Lonchura striata: one gene and its partner. The protein of the gene in region 2 binds, or shares a complex with, the protein of the main gene of each other region. Links are inferred from orthologs where the notes say so. Each region holds a gene or a part of one and is shown on either strand. Other genes may lie near its edges.

Region 1 (10,569 bases), on a different chromosome or scaffold from region 2:
TAGCCCACAGATTGGTTGGGGTAAATTCCAGCTCTTCTCCACTATTTCACAGGACACATCTCTTCCAGCTCTTCTCCACTATTTCACAGGACACATCTCAGTTCCTTGAGGAACTCTGCTTCTAGGTAGAGCTACAGCCAGTAGTGACTATACTTTGAGATGCTGAGCCAGACAGCTGTTACCCACTTACCAGTCCACCGACTGTAATGTTCTCACCTGGGACACAAAGATGCTCTGGGAATACGTTGACAGCCTTGCTAAAGGCAAGGCAGGCAACAGTCCCTGCTCTCCCCTCATCCATAGGTGTAATAATTCAATCATAGAAGACACTAAGGTTGGTGGGTGTTTTGCTTTTTCTCTTTTTTTTTTTTTCCCCTCATATTAAAACCACAGTCATTGTATGCCCAGAGAAGATTACATTATTTTTCCCAGCAATCAAAGTGAGCCTGACTGGTCTCTAATTCCCTAATTATCTTTCCTGCTCTTTCTGAAGTTGGGTGCAGCACTTGTTTTCCACATTTGTCTGGGACATCCCTAGATCTGCACAATCTCTGAGGTGATAAGAGAAAAACTTCACCATGACATAAGCCAGCCTGTATCTTTGCCCACTACTGGTAGTCCCTCTTTCTTAACCTTGCCTCTAAGGTGGTCAAGGCCAAGGCAAAAGGGGCCTTGAGACCATCAGCCTTATGTCTGTCACTAGACCAGCTGCCCTGTTTAGCACCAGGCCATCACTTTCCTTGTATTCCTTCTGTTGCAGCTGAACTCTTGCTGGTCTTGATGTCATTTGCTGCTTTCAACTGTAGCTGAGCTTTGGCTTTCCTAACACCATTTCTGTGTACCTGGACAATGCTGGTGTAGTCCCTCTTTGTAGCTGCCCCTAGGTTTCACCTGTTCTATGTGTTCTTATAGATTGGGTTAGTCATGAGTTCCATGCACATTTTCCTTAATATTGGATTGAACTGTTCTTGTACTGTCAAATTGTCAACTGATTTCTCTCTGCTGCTTTTTAATGAGAGAGTAATGGGTAGTCTGGCCCTTTTTTTTTCACCATATACCTGAGATTAGTCCTGTGAAGTCTAGAAAATTGGAATGCATGTATGAGATGACATTTAAATGTCAATAAAGTATTTTGTAAATTTTGTTTTCGGCTGAAATTTGATTTGATGTGTTCTTGGCTACTGCCTATGCTAATCAGGGTGTAGAAGTAAACATTTAAACTCTGTGCAGTATTTATCCCATATATGCATATTTAGCATATATGCTAAATTTAAGGGAAGAGAACAATCCATGAAAACAGTCTGCTTAAATTGGTAACACTACTATATTTTCCTCTCTTACAGTTGGTGAGGCCTACAAGGAGATGCTGGTAGCTGACAACCTTGATATCAACAACATGAGGCATAAAATCAGAGATTACTCACTTTCTGGAGCATACAGAAAAATTATCATTCGGCCTCAGAATGTCAATTGGTGAGTTGGAGCATAAAGGAGATTACACTTGCTAGCATAGAGTTTATTTAAATACAAAACAACATGAGACTGATCCATGGAACATCCACACAGACTGAAACATAGGTAGAAAGGAATCTCTCTGCACTTCTCTCATGTTTTTAATGCAGCTGAAGTGGAACTATAGCCTTTTCCTTGGTTCTCTAGTTCTGTGGTGGAGGAGTATCAAGACATCTTAGCTAGTTGTTCACTCCTTGCAAGGACTTGCCTGAACACTTCATAGATAATACTTAGGTTGAAACAATGATAGCTAATATTCAGAATAGGGTTTTTTGTAGTCTTGCTATAAAAAAGTTGGTCTCAAATTATCTATCAATCAGAAAAATTTGTGTCACTTCATCCTACTAAATCACTGTTGTTAGAGATATAGCCTAGTTTTCATATGGCAACTGAGTAAATACCTTTTAAACAGGAAACTGTACAAATGTGCAGGAAAACACTATCACTGATGCATAGAATTAAATATAGAGGATTTAGGAGCACAGAAATACAAATATTTATACTTGAAACATCAGCACTAATTAATATTAAGTTTGTCTACTTCCCAGTTAGTTTTTCAGCCTCATGGTTACATATTGGATTTATGTTAAATGAATGGCAGAAACTGTAGAATATCTTAGCCCATTCAAAGTTTGGATAACTATTGAAAGGCTTCACTTGTGCTAGGTACTCTTAGAGTTGACACCAGTCTTCCCTTAATTTCATGAACTATACTTCTTGTGTAGTTGAAAATTCTGACAGCACACAAGGGCAGGCAGATGAGTTATGCAAAGAAGCTTCTCACTAATTGTTTTTTGACAATCTTCATAAAGCCAAGGCAAATCTTCTACATAAAGCTTTACTCATTATTTTGCCTAATTCAATTTCAGTTGTAAATGCCAAACTGCAATAATAATAATAAAAAAATAATATTGTAATAAATACACATTTATATAAAATGTGTTAACCTAAATAATTTTAAATAATAATAAATTTTATGTATGTTATAAAGGGAAGTTGTTGCATATGATGATCCTAAAATCCCATTATTTACTACGGATTTGGATAAACTGGAAGGAAAACCATTACCAGTACTCCCTACAGGTAAGTTGATTTTTCTGCTGGTTTGCTAAATGGGAAGTTTGATCTGGCTGTTGCTTTCAATTGCTGCATAGTCAAATCTCCTTTAAGGAAGAGCTTTCACTTAAATATTGACTGTTAAGTGGTGGTAACAACAGGACAGGCATCTAAATAAGGACCCCGATTTCTCAAGGGTGAAAGCCATTCCTCCAGCATCTGTATTGACTGCTACATTTTCTTACAGACATCTGTAAAATCAAGTAAATGCCTAGCAGTAAATGTCTGCAACTAACAAAGGTGGAATTAAGTCACAAATTGTCTATATACTGAGCTTGTATTATTGATGCTGAACACAGATGACTGAAATACTTAACTCTGGTCATAAGGTGTTTTGACACTGCTTTCCAGAAAAGCGAAGACAGGCTAGGAATTGAGTCTGAAAGAATTAATATTTGCTTTTAGAAGAAGAAAACTCTGAAACCACCACTTTGTCCTGAGAGAAAATGTTAAATTGTTTCATTAAAATTTTCACTTGGATTATAAACAGGAATGCGATGGTGGTGGTTGCTTTGCTTTATGGGCTGGGAAAGTTGGTTGTGGAAACTGTTAGTTCAGTTTAGATGGCATCCAGAATAAGCATTATATATGCCCTTAACCACTTGTTCTTGTTTTTTGTCTCTTACACCTGCTGATAGATGGCAAATTCAGGGCACTAAAGATGGAGTTCTCCCTTCCCCCATCCACTTACGCGACCATGGCGATTCGAGAAGTTTTGAAAATGGACACAAGCATAAAAAACCAGACACAACTGAATACTACCTGGTTGCGCTGAGTGAACTGCACAATTATTTGATTTTAACAATGTTTTTCTTATTTACATGTTCTGTACAAATCTTTAAAGAGTCACAGTAAAAAATTTGTATTTTTTTAAGTTTTTTTAGTGCTAGCATTTAACTTCAGTAGTCCTTTGAAAGATGGTGACTGTAATATAATAAGGATTTTAGTGACTGGTGCTTTTTACTGAATGAGTAACTTGAGGTGTATCTTTAGAATTGTGCTTATAATGGCATCAGACCTGGAAGAATGTTTAGCTTGCTTTCTTTGGGCAAGCACTGAATGTTTTCAGGAGTTCAGCTGCCCGTGAAGTCTTTTCAAATACAATGAATTACACGGGGAGAGATGAATTACAATAAAATTAAGATACTGATGAACATATGTATTGCTGGAGTTTTGCTAGTAGCATTTGCACTGATGCAGTAGCAGATTCTTTTAGCAAGGCTTTTATGTGCTGTAAAGCTGCACAGCTCTTTTAAATATGTCCGACTTTTCATTGAGAAAACACTTGTATTTTCCAGCTAATACCTGTACCAAAGAACAGGTACTACAAATAAACTAACCTGAAACTCTGAGCGTGTATCAGTGAGCGCTTCCTTTGCGCCTGTCGCTTGTTGGCGGGGAATGCCTTGCTGTTGGGGGAAAAAAATCCTGTGGGAGCTTTCTAAAGAGACGTGGCCTTTTCAGCCAAGCGTTGCTAGTCCTGTCGCCGGCCGTGGCAGAGGCGGCGGGGGAGGCCAAGAGGTGTGAGGCCGTGTCCCAGGAGCGCGGGGCGGGACAGCCCCGGGCCGGCGGGACAGCCCCGGGCCGGCGGGACAGCCTCAGGCCGGCGGGACAGCCCCGGGCCGGCGGGACAGCCCCGGGCCGGCGGGACAGCCTTGGGCCGGTGGGACAGCCCCGGGCCGGCGGAACAGCCTTGGGCCGGTGGGACAGGCCCCGGGCCGGCGGGTCAGCCCCGGGCCGGGCCGTGTCCCGGGAGCGCGGGGCAGAACAGCCCCGGGCCGGTGGGACAGCCTCGGGCGGGCGGGACAGCCCCGGGCCGGCGGAACAGCCTCGGGCCGGGCCGTGTCCCGGGAGCGCGGGGCAGAACAGCCCCGGGCCGGCGGGACAGCCCCGGGCCGGCGGGACAGCCTCAGGCCGGCGGGACAGCCCCGGGCCGGCGGGACAGCCTCGGGCCGGCGGGACAGCCCCGGGCCGGCGGGACAGCCCCGGGCCGGCGGGACAGCCTCGGGCCGGCGGGACAGCCTCGGGCCGGGCCGTGTCCCGGGAGCGCGGGCCGGGAGCGCCGCGGGGCTCCCGGGAGCGGCGCCGCGCCTGCGCCCCGCGCTCCGCCGGCCGCGGCGCCGCTGACGCGGCGGGGGCGGTGCCGCGGCCGCGGGCGGCTGAGGGCTCCGGGCGGCGGCTGAGGGCTCCGGGCGCCGGCTGAGGGCTCCGGGCGCCGGCTGAGGGCTCCGGGCGGCGGCTGAGGGCTCCGGGCGCCGGCTGAGGGTTCCGGGCGGCGGCTGAGGGCTCCGGGCGGCGGCTGAGGGCTCCGGGCGCCGGCTGAGGGCTCCGGGCGGCGGTGACGGCTCCGGGCGGCGGCTGAGGGCTCCGGGCGGCGGCTGAGGGCTCCGGGCGGCGGTGACGGCTCCGGGCGGCGGCCCCGCGGCGCTCCCGGCCCGGCAGGGAAGCGGCGGCCGTGGCGGCGGAGGAAGGGCTCGCCGAGCGGCGCTGGGCTGAGGGGCTGCCCGGCCGCCCGGCCCGGGCCGCGGGCGGCGGCGCTCCGCTCGCAGCCTGCCGGAGCCCGCGGAGCCTGCAGCCGGCCCTTGGCAGGGCCCGGCCGCTGGCCGAGGTGGGTGCTGGGCCGCGGGGCTGAGCGGGCAGCTGCTGGGAGGGATGCGCCGGAGTCCTGTTCCTGCCTTGTGTAACCAGAGCCTTCCCACTAAGTATGAAAGGAGCACCATTTGGTTGTTTTTTTTCCTGCCGTTTAGTATTTACATTGCTGCAAACAGGAGTATTACTGCTCTGTTTTCTTTATTCGATTATTCTTCTGCAGCACCCTTGGTCGCCCAGTTTGTTCTTCCTGGTGCTCTCTATTGTCTCTGCAACTCTGGCTCATCAGCTGCGCCGCTTCCTCGCTCCTGTTGTCAGTTTAGTAGGGGTTTTAATTAAAGCTTGTAGCAGATGAAGTGCAAGTGTATCGGTTTTTATTTTTAAATACTCTTTTGAAAGTGACGCGGATAAATTGAGGATTGATCTGGCCAAACAGTTGTCACTGTTGCCTTTTCTGTTTCACTGTGGACATCCTCTCAATGTTGGGTTTCTCTGAATGCTGCCAAATGTGTGGATCAGCAAATACCTTTTAAGTTATACTGTGTGGGTTTTTTGGGCTAAAACTTCACTGATGTATTTACTTTCCAAATTATTATAAGGCCCACATGGATACTTTGCTAGTAATGCAGTAGACATGTGTTGGAATCTCTAAAATTTCCTAAACTTGTGAAAAGGGAAAGTGGAACCTTAGCTTCCTTTTTATTTTACAAATTTTTTTGTAGTTTTTATTAAGTTTTCTATATTATATATGTAGGAACTACATATTTCTTGAACTATTTTTAATAGAATTTGTGCTTTTGGTGAAGGAAGAAATTATCAGATGTATTTATCTTTAGTAGTTAATATATAATAAATCACCAGTTGGTTATGTCAGCAAGGTTTTATCAGACCTCAGACTTAAGCCAGTAAATTGTCTCACTTAAAGCAGTATAATTAATGAATATGGTATTTCAGTCTCAGTTTAAATTGAACTGCCCAGCTTTTCATGGAGTTTTGTTCCTCAGTAGATAATATTTGTTTGTGCTGTCTTAGTGTCAGCTAACTAGAAATTGTATACTCAGTATTGCAGAGAAAGAAAACATGGCAAGCATTGCTGTTAGAAAGAAAGAAGTCACTAGAGATCTAGACCACTGTGATATCCCATACTATGTTTCTGAATTTGTGGAAAGAGAACTTGGAAGTGACTATGATTCCCTGGGGAAACTAGACAGCCTGATTGAAAAGCTATCTGAAAACAAAAAGCACTTAGAAGAACAGGTAAGCATCTTTCTGTTTCTTTTCTTTTTTTCTTCTGAACATGCTGTATGACTGATTGAGAATATGAAACTAAATGAAATGTACCAGTATCTCAAATAGTACTGCTCTACACAGTGCAGTGGATTTGTGTCTGCATTGATGCATCTCTGTCAATGCAGGTACTTACAGTTTCGTCAGAAGTCCCTAAAAGAATTCAGAAAGCCTTAAAGAATGCAGAAGATTCCAAAAAGTCTCTGAGTCAGCTTCTGGAGGAGGAAACTGTTCTGTCTGAGTCCATCAGTAGCCACTTGCTGAAAGCTCAGCCATGGATGGAGGATCTCGATGTGCTGATAGGTCAGGTAGAAGAGATCGAGCGACACCTGGCCTACCTCGAGTGGATTTCTCGCATAGAAGAGCTCAGGTAGTTTCTGAGTAGTGGGTATGTTCTGAGACTGGTGACCTGGTTTATTATTAAAATATTTTAAATTCAAAAAAGTTTTGTCTTTACTTTTCAATATACAAGTTATTCTTTTCTGTTGTCATTAATGAATATTTGGCCTTGTCTTTTTTTGTGTTTTATAGTGATAGCATTCAGCAATATCTGCTGACCAACAATGTTCCAGAGGCAGCCAGTACTCTAGCATTCATGGCAGAATTGGATATTAAACTTCAGGAGTCATCTTGTTCTCATCTTCTTGCTTTTGTGAGATCCACTGTTAAATTTTGGCATAAAATCCTTAAGGACAAATTGACAAGGTAAGAGAGATACTGTGACTCTCTCATCTTTATGTTGTACTGTCAGTTGATGTCCTGGTGATTATTTTGTGTTGCAGTGACTTTGAGGAGGTGCTGGCACAGCTCCGCTGGCCCTTTGTGGGGCCACCTCAGTCCCAGGCATTTGGCCTTGCTGCACCAGCCAATGCTCCTGAGGTGTACAACAGCTTGGAGATGCTGTTCTGTCAGCTTCTGAAACTGCAAACCTCGTATCCTTTTAAATCCTTGCAGTGAATTTTAGCAAAAATAAAAACTGTTAGAGATGTACATTCTCAAGGAGAATTATTTAAAATTTTATTCTCCCTAAAGACAGAATATAATTTATATTACTTTGTATTAACAGTAGAATGTTGTGGGGATTTGGTTTTTTTTTTTTTTTTTGGGTGGGTTTTTTATTTGTTTGTTTGTTTGTTTTGGCATTTATAAAATGCCAAGTGCCAAAGTTGTCCTTTTTGTCAGTACCAACATTTTAACTCCAAGTCATCAGATCCAGTGCTCTCATGGTAGCTGACAGTTCAGGTTGCATGAGAATGTGGCCTTACACTGTTTGGAACCATTACCCATGCATGTTAATGAAAAAATGGTGATGTGTGTTTTATGAGACACAGTTAATGCTTTTCCTTTTAAAGCCTTTTGTGAAATAAGATTTAACTACTTTAATATGTCCTGTCCCAGAAGGAAAAAAAGGGAAAACTAAACATACCTGTCTTGGAAGGAGAGTTTACAAAAAGGGGAGACTGCAGGAGGATTTCTGTTGTGCAGCAATCATAAGTCTGCCTTTGAGGTTGCTCAGAGGGCACTGCAGCTTATTCTGTCCCTGATTTTTATGAATTAAATAATTCACAAAAAATCAGTTAAAACTCAAGTTTAACTAAGCCTTTGTGTGTGTGTGACTGTGGCTGATGTTTTTCTTTTTTTTTTTTAATCACACAGCAGAAAGATGCAAGGCCATTGTACACAATCCTGAGTTGGTTACAATTTTGGTTTGGCAGAGTGGCTCACTTAGATCTATTACATGAAAATGGGAAATCATGTGTTGCATTTATTAATCCCAAGAGTCTTTATCCTCCTTTAACAAATATGAATAACTGTGTCTCTTGGACAGCCACTGTGTTTCTGACAGTGGTGCTTTGCTGGGTTCTTACAAGTTTCCTAAATCAAACAGACTCAAGGGACATGTATTGTCATTGAATAAATAATCCCTAAAGACCTGAGTTATATTTAATATTACATAAAGTGGAATATTTTGAGTATCTTTTACAAGGAATTGTATTGTTTTCATAATACTGCCTTTGGTTAATGGTATAGTACTAAGCAGTGTTCATTTTTATAAGCCCATTCTATTGAAATTATGATGCTGGGGTAATTCAACACTAATGTGCATCCTTGACTGTCAAACTTAGAGATGAGCTGTTAACCAAACCTAAACAATTGCCAGAAAAGTACCCTTTACCCCCTTCACCACCAATCGTCCTTCCCATACAGATCATGCTGAATCCTCTTCAGAAAAGATTCAAATATCATTTCACTGGAAATAAACAAACCAATGTTCTTAACAAGGTATGGGAGAAAGCGGTTTGACATTTTTAAATTGCTTTGTAAACAACCTCTAGATTGCTGTGTTTAAATTGTACAGATTTCACATTTTCCAAAATTAGGATTCGTCAAAACTGTGCAGTTCTTGTGCCTACCTAAGTGTGGACAGACATTGAGATAGCACTTGGAGACCTTTCAGAGACACAGGCATTTTATCTGGGTGAGGCAATATTTTTCCCTTGCCCAGATCCTTCATAAAGCATCATTACAATCTTAGACTGACTCCCATCTGTTCACAGGTTTTGATTAATTTCTTCTGTCTTGTTGCAAATGGTTTTGCACTGTTCTGTATTTCTTGAGCTCAAAGGCTGTGACTTTGATTTTTGGCACTGTGTTTTGCAACCATCATGTAACTGAAAATGTTGGATATGAAATGTAATTAGTCCAAAATATGGTTAAATAGTTCTTTTTTTTTAATGGGTTGAATTTTTTGATTTGCATAAAACAAGAGGTGCTGATTTTATCAGTTGGAAACTGACTCACTTTTTCTTTGAATTGACTTCAAAGACTGAGGATTTTTATCTGAGTATTACCATTGGAATGGGTTTCATTGCATTAATGCCACTGCAACATCTGGAGCAGAGTTTGAGAGATGTCTTGTAGCAGTCCGGTTGCACAAGTCTGCTTACGATCACCATCATGTGTAAATCTAAATACATTTGCAGTCTCGACAGATGCTACTGCAGAGCTTTTTAAAATACTGTTTTGTATGTTAGTGGGAAAGAGGTATTTTAGATATGCACAAAATTTTTTTGAGAGCAAATGGAAAATTTACATTGAAGACATTGAATTTGCAAACAATAGGTGAACAACCATTTTAAAAAGAAGAACTTGTTAAGAAAAGTTTACAGGGAATCTAGTGTCAGGTCAGAAAGGTATTTCAACAGGGCATTGCTGAAATTTGGGTTGGGTTTTTGGATTAGGTTTTGGGGTTTTATTGTTTAGTAGTTACTTGGATAACACAATAAAGAAAATTCAAATGTAAAATATTTAAAAGACAGCAACCTGGACAGGATTAACAGTATTTCAGAGACTAAGCGTTCACAGTGACCTTGCCCAGCTGGGGAAGGACTGTCAAAAAAACCCAGCAACCCAAGCATGATAAAATTAATGAGACAAGTGAAAATGAATGCAGAGGTGAGAAACAGACACACAAAATGTGAGTGCACCTCAGCAGAAGGTTCTTTAGCTGTCGGGAGTGAGGAAACTGGAACTGCTTCCAGTTGCACTAACACTGAAAGAAGTGTTCATCAAAACCTGCAGTCCATATTTTTAGGTGTGGAAACTTGAAAAAGCTTAAAGGCATTAAAATGTGAAATGAGAAGGTGATAGATTCCCCACTTCTAGGGGGAGGTTAGGTACCATAAGAAAAAGAGCAGAGCTTTTCTCAGGAGCACATCCTTTTTGTTGTACCAAGAAATAAGGGCCACACAGGAGAACAGGAAGAAGCATATGAAGCAGAAACAAGGCTCTCATGAGTGAGAAAGCAGTAAAGAAAGGGGAAATGAAAATTGAACTTTTGCTTGATAAACACAATATTTGGTACATTTAAGACAATGAAAATCCAGAAATATTTTTCTGACAATGCTTTTATATAAATGAAAGTTAAGTAAAACACAGTGAAAGACTTGTGTGACCTGAGATCAAGAGAAGGCAGGGAAAGAGTGTTGTATTTTCAGAAATTTGTCCTAAAATACTAGTAGCACTTGAATAAATGTTTGGATGCATTTAATAATTTATTTTCTT
Region 2 (10,662 bases):
AGTGTCACACAGAGAAAAATACAGCAGGGTATTTTATACCCTTCATACCAGGCTGTTTGCATTGCAATGGTTTCTCATGTATTAATAATTCCTTTGGGAATATCTTCCTTTGATGTGCCTCTTTTCTTTCACTATTATTTGCTATATCTGTCAATCATTAGTTTGCTTGCTTTCAGGTAAATGACAAAACTAGTGAATTTTAAAGGCACAGATATGAATAATGTACAGATTCAACCAGAACTCTAAGAAAATCTGTTTGTAGGCAGACCTTGATATCAATATATAGTGCTGCTTGTTGGTGTGGAACGTGGACTGGAATTTACTATACATCTCCCAAAATTCTTTGAAACTTACACGATGTTACACAATCTACTATTGCTTTACAAGCTACATTGTCAAATATAGTTTAAAAATATAGACACAGTAAAAAGGCATTTTTTTCTCAGTAGTTGTTTCTTCTTGAACTCTTTCCCAAGATCCAACAAAGCTTTCACATTGCCCTGAATCCCTAGGTTCAGAATTTGAATTTTTGTTTAACCTAATTCTAGGCTACACAGTTGCCTATGTTATGTGTAGTAAATATAATTCGCGCCATTCCTTGTATGAAATATATAATATTGGATACTTGTTAGATTATGCCTGTTTGTATTAGTTCCCCCCCTTTGCAGGCGAGACTGGGTGTATATTGGAAACTGATTTACAAGTAAAAGGATGTGGCTCAGCCAGGAGATGGGCCATGTCTGGACTCCAGGTGCTGATCATCGGATGCTGATCATCACATAAATGGTCCAAGATGGATATCATGGAAGTCCTCAGACAGATACAAAGAAAATCTTATTAACCTATGGACTCTGAATAGAAGAAAAGACTGATCGCTGAAATCTTGGCCTCAGGCAGAATTTTCCCTATAAAACCCGCTTGTGCCAGGATGGAGGTGTGTGGGCATAGAGGAAAACCTCTGCTGAGGCTGACTCCTTGTTGCACACCCAGGGCCAACCCTGAGCTTGGCTCTGTTCTTTCCTTGTGGCTGGCTAGATAGAATTTGATTGCAAAATAAATATTTTATTTTTTCATATTATTTTGGCTGGACAAATTTTCATTTATAACACCTAAAAGAGTTTACTAACACAAGCAAAAATTATACGGAAGGAGCAGAAGTGTCAGGGTGAGAAATAGTTTTATTTATATTTTACAAATGCTTTATAAAGTTGCAGGAAAGAGGCTGAAGTATCAGTTCTTTTGTAATTATTTCACAGAACCAGGTTGGGAAGGATACCTGAGATCATTGAGTGCAACCTGTGAGAACACCACCTGGTCAACTAGACCAGGCACTGGGCGCCATGCCCAGTCTTCCCTTACACTGCTTCATGGACCGTGACTCCACCACCTCTGGGCAGCCCATTTCTATGTTTAACAACTCTTCTTGTGAAGAAATCCTTCCTAGTGTCCAACCTGGATCTCCCCTGGTGCACCTAAAGGCTGTTCTCTCATCCTTTGGCTTCTCGCCTGGGAGAAACGGAGCGCTCCCGGCTCCAGGCTCCCTTCAGGGCTGTTCAGGGCCAGGGGCTCCCCTGAGCCTCCCTCGCTCCAGGCTGAACACCCCCAGCTCCCTCAGCCGCTCCCCATGTGGGTCTGTGCCCTGACCCTTCCCCAGCTCCCTGGCCTTGCCTGGACACACTCCAGTGCGGTGGTGTGTTTTTCTTTCATTTGATATTTGTTTAATATCTGTTTCCCCCCCCAACCCCCCTTTCCCTGCCCCTTTCCCTAGAACCTTCCCTGTCATTCATTCTAGCCCCCTCCTCAGCTTCCAGATGTTAGTTCTGCCCTAAACTCCTCCCCTGCTATTCCCTCATTGGTTACTGTTCCTACACCCGTCCTCCTGAGTTCTGTATAAAACCTTTGCCCCCCCGCCCGCCGGGGTCTTGGGGCTCATGGAATAAAACCATCTCGTTCCCCCCCCAAGTCCCGTGTCGCCTTCGTCTGTCCCTGCGCGCCACGAACTGAAACTGCAGAGCTTGCGGGGGAAAGCGGCCGCCCGTTCTCTTCCCTCACCGCCCAGCACGGCTCGGAGTGCCGCGGCGAGGAGCGCATGCCGCGCCTCAACATATGGTAGCGAGAGGATGGTTCCCTCCTTCGTCTTGTAGAAAAAACGGGCAAATTCGTGGGGGCGCCCGCCTCACAGAAGAGGAAGGAGGGAAGAGGAACATCTACGGCCGTAAAAGCTCTGCCTGATGCTAAGAGGAGCTGAGCGCCGAGCGAAAAACTGACGCTCCGGGACCTCTTTGTTCTCGCCATCTTCCCGCCCGGGAGCAGCCGCGCTGCACGGGCAGCCGGGCTGCAGAGCTTTTTGGCGGGCAGACTTACCCGAGAACACAGAGGGCGGTTTTGGCAGCGGCTCGGGGGAGCCTGAAGAAAGGCTGATCGAGAAGAGGTTCATTCCTCGGTCAGCATCTGCAGCGAGACCACCGGAGGCTGATAGTGGCCGAAACCAAGGCTTCGGGGACGAGTCTTGGTTTAACGGGAACACCCAGGCTTCCGGAAGGGCCAAAACCGGGAAGGAACATCCCCAGTTTTTAGCGCGACTTTTCCATCGAGTCGAGGAGAAGATTCAAGCCATCTCCGTCCGAGCCTGCAAGGTAAGGTGGGCTACACGGGGTGGGGGTCGCCCCGACGGACGGCTGGGTCTGCCACTTTTTTTTCTCGCGTTTTAACCCCCGTCTGCGCCCAGACTGGGGCTGTAGCCGTGCATGTCCCTGGCAAGCGGGTGGGTTTTCTTTTTCTGGGAGAAGCTAGCACTGAGTGCTATCCTTCGCCTAGTCTTCTGTGGGGACCTAAATTAGATCGCTTTTTCTTCTCCTCGAAAAAGTTGTCTTCTCTATCCTCCCCTCCCCATTCTGGGCTGGACGGAGGGGGTAGAAAAGACACCAGTAGGGATCAGCTAAGAAGACGACACGTTAGCTATAGGAGAGTTGTTAAAAGGGGCCCTTTACACCCACGCATTGCGCCGACATCCAGCTGCGTCAGGCGGCCCCCCCCCCTCCTATAAATTTCCCCTTTTTGCTTCTGTGAAGCTCCCTATGCCCCCATCCCCTCGGACTTTCCTAAAACCCTTTCCTATCCTCCCTTGGGGATTGCTGTGGCCGAGCCGCCCCAAGTGCCCCGCCGGACACTGCTCAGGCCAAGTGCAGTGTATCTGGCACCCCCTCTCAAGATGGCGCTGGCCACGCCGCTTGGGACCCGCTTTCCCGCCTTGACCCTTCTTTTCCGCCCCTGGTTTCCCGCCAGTCCCATCTCTCCCCCAATAGCCCTGCACCGTCCCTGCACGAGGCTAGTCCCTATTGTGGGGAGGCGGGGTTAGATATTCCCCCATCCTTCTTCAGGCTCGTCCTCCGGGGAGAGGGTCGGGAGGGATCTTCTCCCGAGGAAATGGAGCCGAAACCCGGGACTGAGGATCCGTCATTTTGTCTTCCCCCTGAAATGGCGGCGCCCCGGTCCACCCCTTACCGATACCCCCTGTTAATCATGGCAATCACTAATTAAGTGATTGTCTGATTCCCCTATCCTATTCCTTAATGTACCCTACCCAATACTCCTTTTTATTTAACTACGAATTCCTCTTTTTGCTTTTGATTATTTTTGAATAATCTGTTTGTTGAGTTATATTTTATAGAAAAAAAAAAAAAAATCATCCCAGTTAATTATTACTCAAGATATTATGCCCACCTCTCAAACGGACATTCAAATTGAACAAACCACATCGCTATCCGCTGACTCTGCTTTAAAACAAGCGCCGTTATCCGCTGACTCTGCTTTAAGAATTTAAGAAGCTGAACATCGCAAACGCCGCGACGCAGCAAATTCTAAATCAGATGAAGTCACAAATCCTGCTGTGCTTTGTACCCTTAATTTGGACTCATTTAAGACAATTTTATATACTCCAGATGAAGTTTTTATATGTTTCATATGTTATAATCACAATTAGTTTATCATTTTTTAATGTCTTTCAATTTATGTTTTTTTAATAATATGTAATGTTACAATTTGATTTTATATTAAGTTGTTTTGTTATAATTATAATTAATTCAGTCTTTTCTGATATTTTTTAACTTAAAGGCTGTGTTTAACCATTATTGCTACAGGAATCACTCAGCTACTATATCGCTTCAGGCTTGCTGCATTGCTGCGAAATTTAAAAATTTATTAGTTATATTTAGTTGATCTTTTATTATATTTAATTCCAATAATTCCATTTAATTATTTTATTCAAATTAGATAGTTATAATTTTAATCATTCTAATTAAATTTTTTAATTTAATTTCTGTCAATTATTTCATTCTATTTCAATTATTTACATTATTTACATTATTTTAAATTGTTACTCAGAACAGCAAAACAGCAAGTTTTGTGCAGTCTTGTGTCTAATTTAAGCTGTTACTACTCTTCCTGCCCTATAAATGCAATAATGTGTCTTTCATGTCCTTTAAGTAATTTACAATGTTATCATATGATTTTATATTATTTGCATGTTTTATTAATTTGCTTAAACCACAAAATTCTCCTTCTTTTTGTAAAGTAAAAGAGGGAGATGCGGTGGTGTGTTTTTCTTTCATTTGATATTTGTTTAATATCTGTTTCCCCCCCCAACCCCCCTTTCCCTGCCCCTTTCCCTAGAACCTTCCCTGTCATTCATTCTAGCCCCCTCCTCAGCTTCCAGATGTTAGTTCTGCCCTAAACTCCTCCCCTGCTATTCCCTCATTGGTTACTGTTCCTACACCCGTCCTCCTGAGTTCTGTATAAAACCTTTGCCCCCCCGCCCGCCGGGGTCTTGGGGCTCATGGAATAAAACCATCTCGTTCCCCCCCAAGTCCCGTGTCGCCTTCGTCTGTCCCTGCGCGCCACGAACTGAAACTGCAGAGCTTGCGGGGGAAAGCGGCCGCCCGTTCTCTTCCCTCACCGCCCAGCACGGCTCGGAGTGCCGCGGCGAGGAGCGCATGCCGCGCCTCAACACTCCAGCCCTCGGTGTCCTTCCTGCCGGGAGGGACCCAGAACTTACAAATCAGCTAATTTTATCTGCTTGAGAGAGCTGAACGCTAGGAACTCTAACTGGTAGGACTGAAGTATTTAGAAGTCCTCCGTGGCACCATTAAGAACCACTTGCGAGAAATCCACGTTTTCCCTTTTCCCCGTTTTTTGCCCCTCTTCGGTCAGGGCTCCATCCACACCCCGAGGTCCCGCCCGCCGCGGGCCGGCGCCGCGCGAGTGAAAGGCGGAGCGGTTTGGCCGCCGCCGGTTGCCGTCGCCGCGGCGGCGCGGGCAGGGCGGGGCGGTCCGGCATGGCCGCCGCCGGCAGGGACCGCGGCGGGAGCCCCCGGGAGCGCGGCATGGCCGGCGAGCAGGCGGAGGACGGGGAGGAGAACATCCTGTACGACCTGCTGGTGAACGCCGAGTGGCCTCCGGAGACGGAGGTGCAGGTGCGTGTGGCCGCGGCACGGCCGCGGGCGGGGGAGGGGACCGGCCACGTTGGCGCGGGCGAGGACGCGGCGGCGCCCGGGGGCCGCGGGGCCGCGCCGGTGCCTCGGGAGGCTCGGCGGGATGGCCGCGCTGGGCCTGGCGGGCACGCGGCGTGTCCGTGCGGCCACTGTCCCCGTGTGCCTTCGTGTCGCTTAATTCCCACCGTGGCTTGTGCTGCCTGGGGTGCCTTGAAGTGTTGCTTGCTTATTGAACAATGTGTGTCGGGCTTTGCTGTTGAGCTGACACAAGCGAAACTCTGGTGAATGAAGTCCAGGTGTCGTCTCTAGAATCAGCCGTACAGAGAGCTGTGGAGTCTGTGCTGGTGAAAATAGGACCTTCGTTGGGTTTACCTTGTATGAGGAAAATTAGATCCTCTCTCTGGACTCCTGTATCAGTACAGTTGTGTCTGTATTTGCAGGGATAAAAGAGAAAAATATTTGATTTTCTGTCCACAATGCACACAAATATCTATTTCTGATTTCTTAAGTGCTAGTTTACACTGTTCTTGTACTGCAGGTTTTTAGTTATTTCTAGCTGTTCTTCTACCCGGATCACCAGAAAGGCTGAGAAGCTGTTTCATCTTACCTTTTTCATGTTTTCCTCTGCAATGTGCTGAGCTTGCTGCCTTTTGTCTGCACTTGGATTGACTTGGATATAGATGATGCGAGCAGTGTGGTTTTATTCCTTTCTTGTAGTGGCTTTTAAGTCTACTGAAGTTTTTAATGCATTTCCCACTGAAGGTTTGTAATAGAAGCATTTTAGCAAAGTTTTATGCTTAATGAGAACAGCTGAACAGAAAAGATGTAAAAACATCACAAGGGGAAGACTTATCTGTTAAAAATTACTAGAGCCATGCTCAAAACTGAATCATCAATACCACAGATTCCAACAAAAAAAAAAAAAAGTTTTCATTTGTCAGAAAGATTTTTTTGGTGTTGTTGCTCTTGATCTGTAAATCCTCAGTTGCAGCAACACTTATGGGTGTTTGGAAAACACGATTGCAGTATTACTATTTATTAGCTTAATAGGGTATTTGTATAGATGAATTGATAGTTGCACTTATTTTAATTCAACTGTGTTTTGAGAAATGGTAAATAGTCTTTGTTTTTAGTAGCATATGGAAACAATTCTCCTGTTGCAAACCATGAGGAGAACTTAGGTATGACACAAAACTGTGGTTCTTTTACAGCCGTGTTAAGGGGGCACATTTCTGACAAATGCGTTTTCTGCTGCCATAGTGTTCTTGAGGTTGTGTGGTAAGTTGATTAAAGAACTGATAACTCTGAGAAACAACAATGTTGTTTCATCTCCTCTTGTTAGTAGTCTCTCTAGTACCCCTGTAGTGTACTGGAGGGGGCTGTGAATAATAGGTTAGTGAGATGACACCTCTCCATGGTGGGGATGCCAATTTAAAGTGACTGTGTAACCACAGTCTGAGGGTCCTTATCTGCCCTGGTAGTCAGAATTTCTAAGCATCATTGAATTCTGCTTGTTAGCTTAAGCAGATGGTGGTGGTTGTTTTAAACTTGATATTTCTTGCCTATTTATTTTTAAGATAATACCTGTTTTCAATAGCAGAAGTTGGTTTGAAAATCCTATGCTGTATAATTTGCTTGGATTTACATTCTTTTTGGAATCTGTCAGTACTCAAGGACACTTCTGATAGTCTTTTTGCCATTTTAGTGGGAAATTGATTTTACACTGACAACATAGGCAAACAGATTATTTTGTCAGTATGAGTCACTTTTTGTCTTAAGATGCCTTAACAGTGATACTACTTAGGTGATTGTCCTAAATGACACCTAAGTGTCCTTAGGTGACATTCCCTTTGGAGCATCTGTCTCTTTTAGTCCTATTTTTTTCACACTCTTCAGAAAAAAATTATACCCTACTTTCTTGTAGAACTGAATCTTTTGGAATAAGTGAGGTAAAGAATGGTAGAAATGGAAAGGAAGTTGAATGCTGCACTGGGAAATGAAATTAGTTGTCTTCCTATGCAGTAATTTAGGCTACAAAGCCAGACCTTAAACTTTTACAGGTCTTTATTGACTTTATTTTTTCTGTTCTCTCATTTGGGATGATTAATTTTTAATTGCAGAGCACTAGGTCTTAAAGCTCTAATTATTGGAAGATGAGCCTTGGTGATGAAGATGTAAAATCATGTTAAATTCAAGACATTGATGAAACTGGCATGGATCTCTTGGGCTGAATGCCTAAAATTTTTAATATTACTTCTTGTTGGTATTATCATTCACCTGTACTGAGCTTTCCGGTAAGAATTTTTTGGTGGAAGGAGGGCCAGGGAGAGTTATAGTAGTTATTTGTGGAGGAAACACTCAAGGAATTGACTACACCAAAGAAGAGAGTGGTGTGGAAATCAAACAGTCTGTGTTCAGGATAGTGATGCCATTGTATAAAATGCACTGTTTGAGAACAATGAAATATATAATGAGAATAAAAGGAATTACTTAGTAGTAGATCCATGTATAGTGAAAATAGTGAATGAGGCAGTGGGTGTGGACAAGGCTGCAAGAGAGGACTTGTGAGGTGATTTATGGAGATATAGGCAGATGGAAATCTCTTCAAATTATTTTCCAAAATGTATCACCTGGTCTTGTGGGTTTTGTTTTTTCATTACAGTCTAACGTTTTGAGATTTCCCCAACACCCACCAGCTTCTGTCCCCCCAGTAAGTTTGCAGGCTGTGCAAAGAAATCCAAAACTAAGTGGGTGACTTGTCAGCAAGAAAGTTACTTAGATTTTATTTCTGGAAGGCTGTCAGGAAGGAAAAATAGAAGTTGTTTTCCCAAGAAGGAATGAATTAAAAAGAAATACAGCACATCTGGTAACCATTGCTATTCCTGAAATGATAAGAATATGTTATAAAAAGTAAAACTCAAGTCTTTGGGATTTAACAGTAAATCAGTTTTGTGAAGTATCGAAGATGTATGGAATAGCAGCCTGTAGTTTAGGCTCAGGACCAGACACTTAAAATATTAATAAAAAATTCTAAAGAGATGTAAGCAGTTTTAGGAAATGATTTTTTTTACTGGGAACTTCCTCATAATCCAAAAACTTAACAAGCTCTCCTTTTAAGGTCCCTAGGAAATTGCAGCTCTCCCTGAGGTTCTGGGGTAGCTGTAAGAAATAATTTATGCTTTCACTTATTTTACTGTAATGCATTGTTATTTCCTAGCTGATCAGCCTGAATGTGGAATGTTATCTATTAGTACAGCTGTGTTTGCTTCTTACACGCTGTGAGATGACAGCCTGGTTATTTGAAAGACTGTTTATGGATTGCAAACTTTGCCTGGAAAACTAATCTTTACTTTAACAATTTAAATTTGGGAGGCCAAATACTATTTTTTAAGCATAGCCATATTGCAAAATGTTGATAAATTTGTATGTCTTTCAGTGTTTACTGCTTTGTAACTTGGTGAGGCCTGAATATTTCAGTTAATGGGAAATTTGCTCTATATATTTTTTGTATTGAATGGAAGAGAAAATTCAGTTATTGCCTACTCTGATGCTCAGTTTGTGGTGCTCTAATATTCTCATTAGAAAGGTATAAACATGATTGCTTATTTTGAGGATTTTTTGTGGATCCTTCCTTATTGGTTATCGTTTTTCACTCCTCCGTTTTGTATCTTCTTTCTGCTTCTTACTGACAAAATATTGTCTTACTGACAAATAATTTTAACTCCTCTTATAGATAAGCATATATATCCTGTGTTGTTTTTGTATTCCTTTTTTCTGTGTTTGGAGAGTGCTTTCATTTATATAGTGACTGCCGTTGCTCCCTGTGCCTAAATTAGGGCAGGTGGAAAGGCTGTGTGAGATGGTATTATCTAGAGGTGGTTTTCCAAGTGGCCGTATTACATAGTACAAATTGATGTAAAAAGAGGTGTTTTTTTTTCAGAAATTGTTTTTCTTAATGTTTCTGAAACTTTCATGAGCAATCTTTAGGTAGCTTAGCACTTAGATATTAACGTAATATGTTGCACACTGAGTACTTTGACTGCTAGGCATTACAGATCATTGTGGCATTTATTTGGCATAAAAAGAATGATCTATAATGGCTTACAGGAGAACACAATCAGAAGTCAGTGTCTTTTGTTACTACCCAAAGATTGAGGCAAAGCTGAATCAATAGACAATCTGTAGCACATTTTGTTTATTGCATCCTGACATTTAAATTATTTGGTGTTACAGCCTGTTTTAGCTTATGCAGTTAAAGGAGACGTTATATGAAGTAGTGAGTAATAGGAAATACACAATGAACTTGTAGGCTAGGAGCCAACTTAAACTTAGTCAGTGAATGTATGTATGAGTGTTGTATTTAAGTAAAAATGTGTGACATGGTGTCTGATGATTATTATTGTAATTGCAGCCAAGAGGCAGCAGAACGCATGGTGCATCATTTATCATCACTAGAGCAATTGCAGGTAAATATTACTTGTTCTTACATTCATGAGGTCTAAGACTCTGTGGATTACTTGTAAATTTTACAATTTCTGCCCTTTAGAGTGCCTAATGATGGAAATAGCAATCGGAATAGAGTACAGGATGTATTTTCAGGAAGATGTTTTCTGGTTGTGAACGTGGCTGTGTTATTTTTATGTCAATTTTGTAAGCATTCTTGTCTCCATTAGTTTGTTGGGACAAACTAATAAACTATACATCTTAGGAGTTAACAAGGTCTGTGTTTTGCAAACTGTATTGGAGCCTTTTTTCCCCCCCCCTCTCTTAAAGTCTCTTGTACTGGGCTGTCTGCTAGTTAGTTCTATGAGGAAGTTTTAAATTCTGATGATATTACATTTCATAAACCAATTGTTAAATGTCAGTGACTGAACTGTATTTTCATCCAGTAGAAATTTATCTTAAAATGAAACAAAATAGTGCAGTGGTTTGGTTTTTTGTTTGTTTGTTTTTTATTTGCCATTTGCATTTATTCTAACATAAGAATTTGTTGGCCAAATTTAAAGGATTTTTCTCTCAATACCTTTTTCTTTAATGAGAATTTGAGATTCCCTGTGCAGTAATCTGGAGGGTGTTTTAAGACTACTAGAGATGTAATTTTTACCTCTTTCCATTTTAGGTCCTGCATTGTTTTTGCTTCAGTACATCTGGTACAGGTAAGTTTTACAAAAAT

What was found.
Region 1: NBAS (region 2) and RINT1 share a complex: the UniProt entries of both Homo sapiens proteins name them as parts of the NRZ complex. The link is inferred for Lonchura striata from reciprocal best matches to the Homo sapiens genes NBAS and RINT1.

What each region holds. Positions count from the first base shown.
Region 1 is NC_134607.1:59,929,401-59,939,969, reverse strand, and holds the start of RINT1 (RAD50-interacting protein 1), read left to right. Parts: upstream 1-5,147; 5' UTR 5,148-5,236; intron 5,237-6,278; 5' UTR 6,279-6,297; coding exon 6,298-6,474; intron 6,475-6,632; coding exon 6,633-6,874; intron 6,875-7,035; coding exon 7,036-7,209; intron 7,210-7,286; coding exon 7,287-7,436; intron 7,437-8,630; coding exon 8,631-8,787; intron 8,788-10,569. Other genes in the region: PUS7 (pseudouridylate synthase 7 homolog), read left to right, coding at 1,344-1,473, 2,504-2,595, 3,267-3,403. UniProt on the Homo sapiens protein: Involved in regulation of membrane traffic between the Golgi and the endoplasmic reticulum (ER); the function is proposed to depend on its association in the NRZ complex which is believed to play a role in SNARE assembly at the ER.
Region 2 is NC_134605.1:101,621,785-101,632,446, reverse strand, and holds the start of NBAS (NBAS subunit of NRZ tethering complex), read left to right. Parts: upstream 1-5,297; 5' UTR 5,298-5,333; coding exon 5,334-5,471; intron 5,472-9,900; coding exon 9,901-9,955; intron 9,956-10,608; coding exon 10,609-10,645; intron 10,646-10,662. UniProt on the Homo sapiens protein: Involved in Golgi-to-endoplasmic reticulum (ER) retrograde transport; the function is proposed to depend on its association in the NRZ complex which is believed to play a role in SNARE assembly at the ER. Required for normal embryonic development.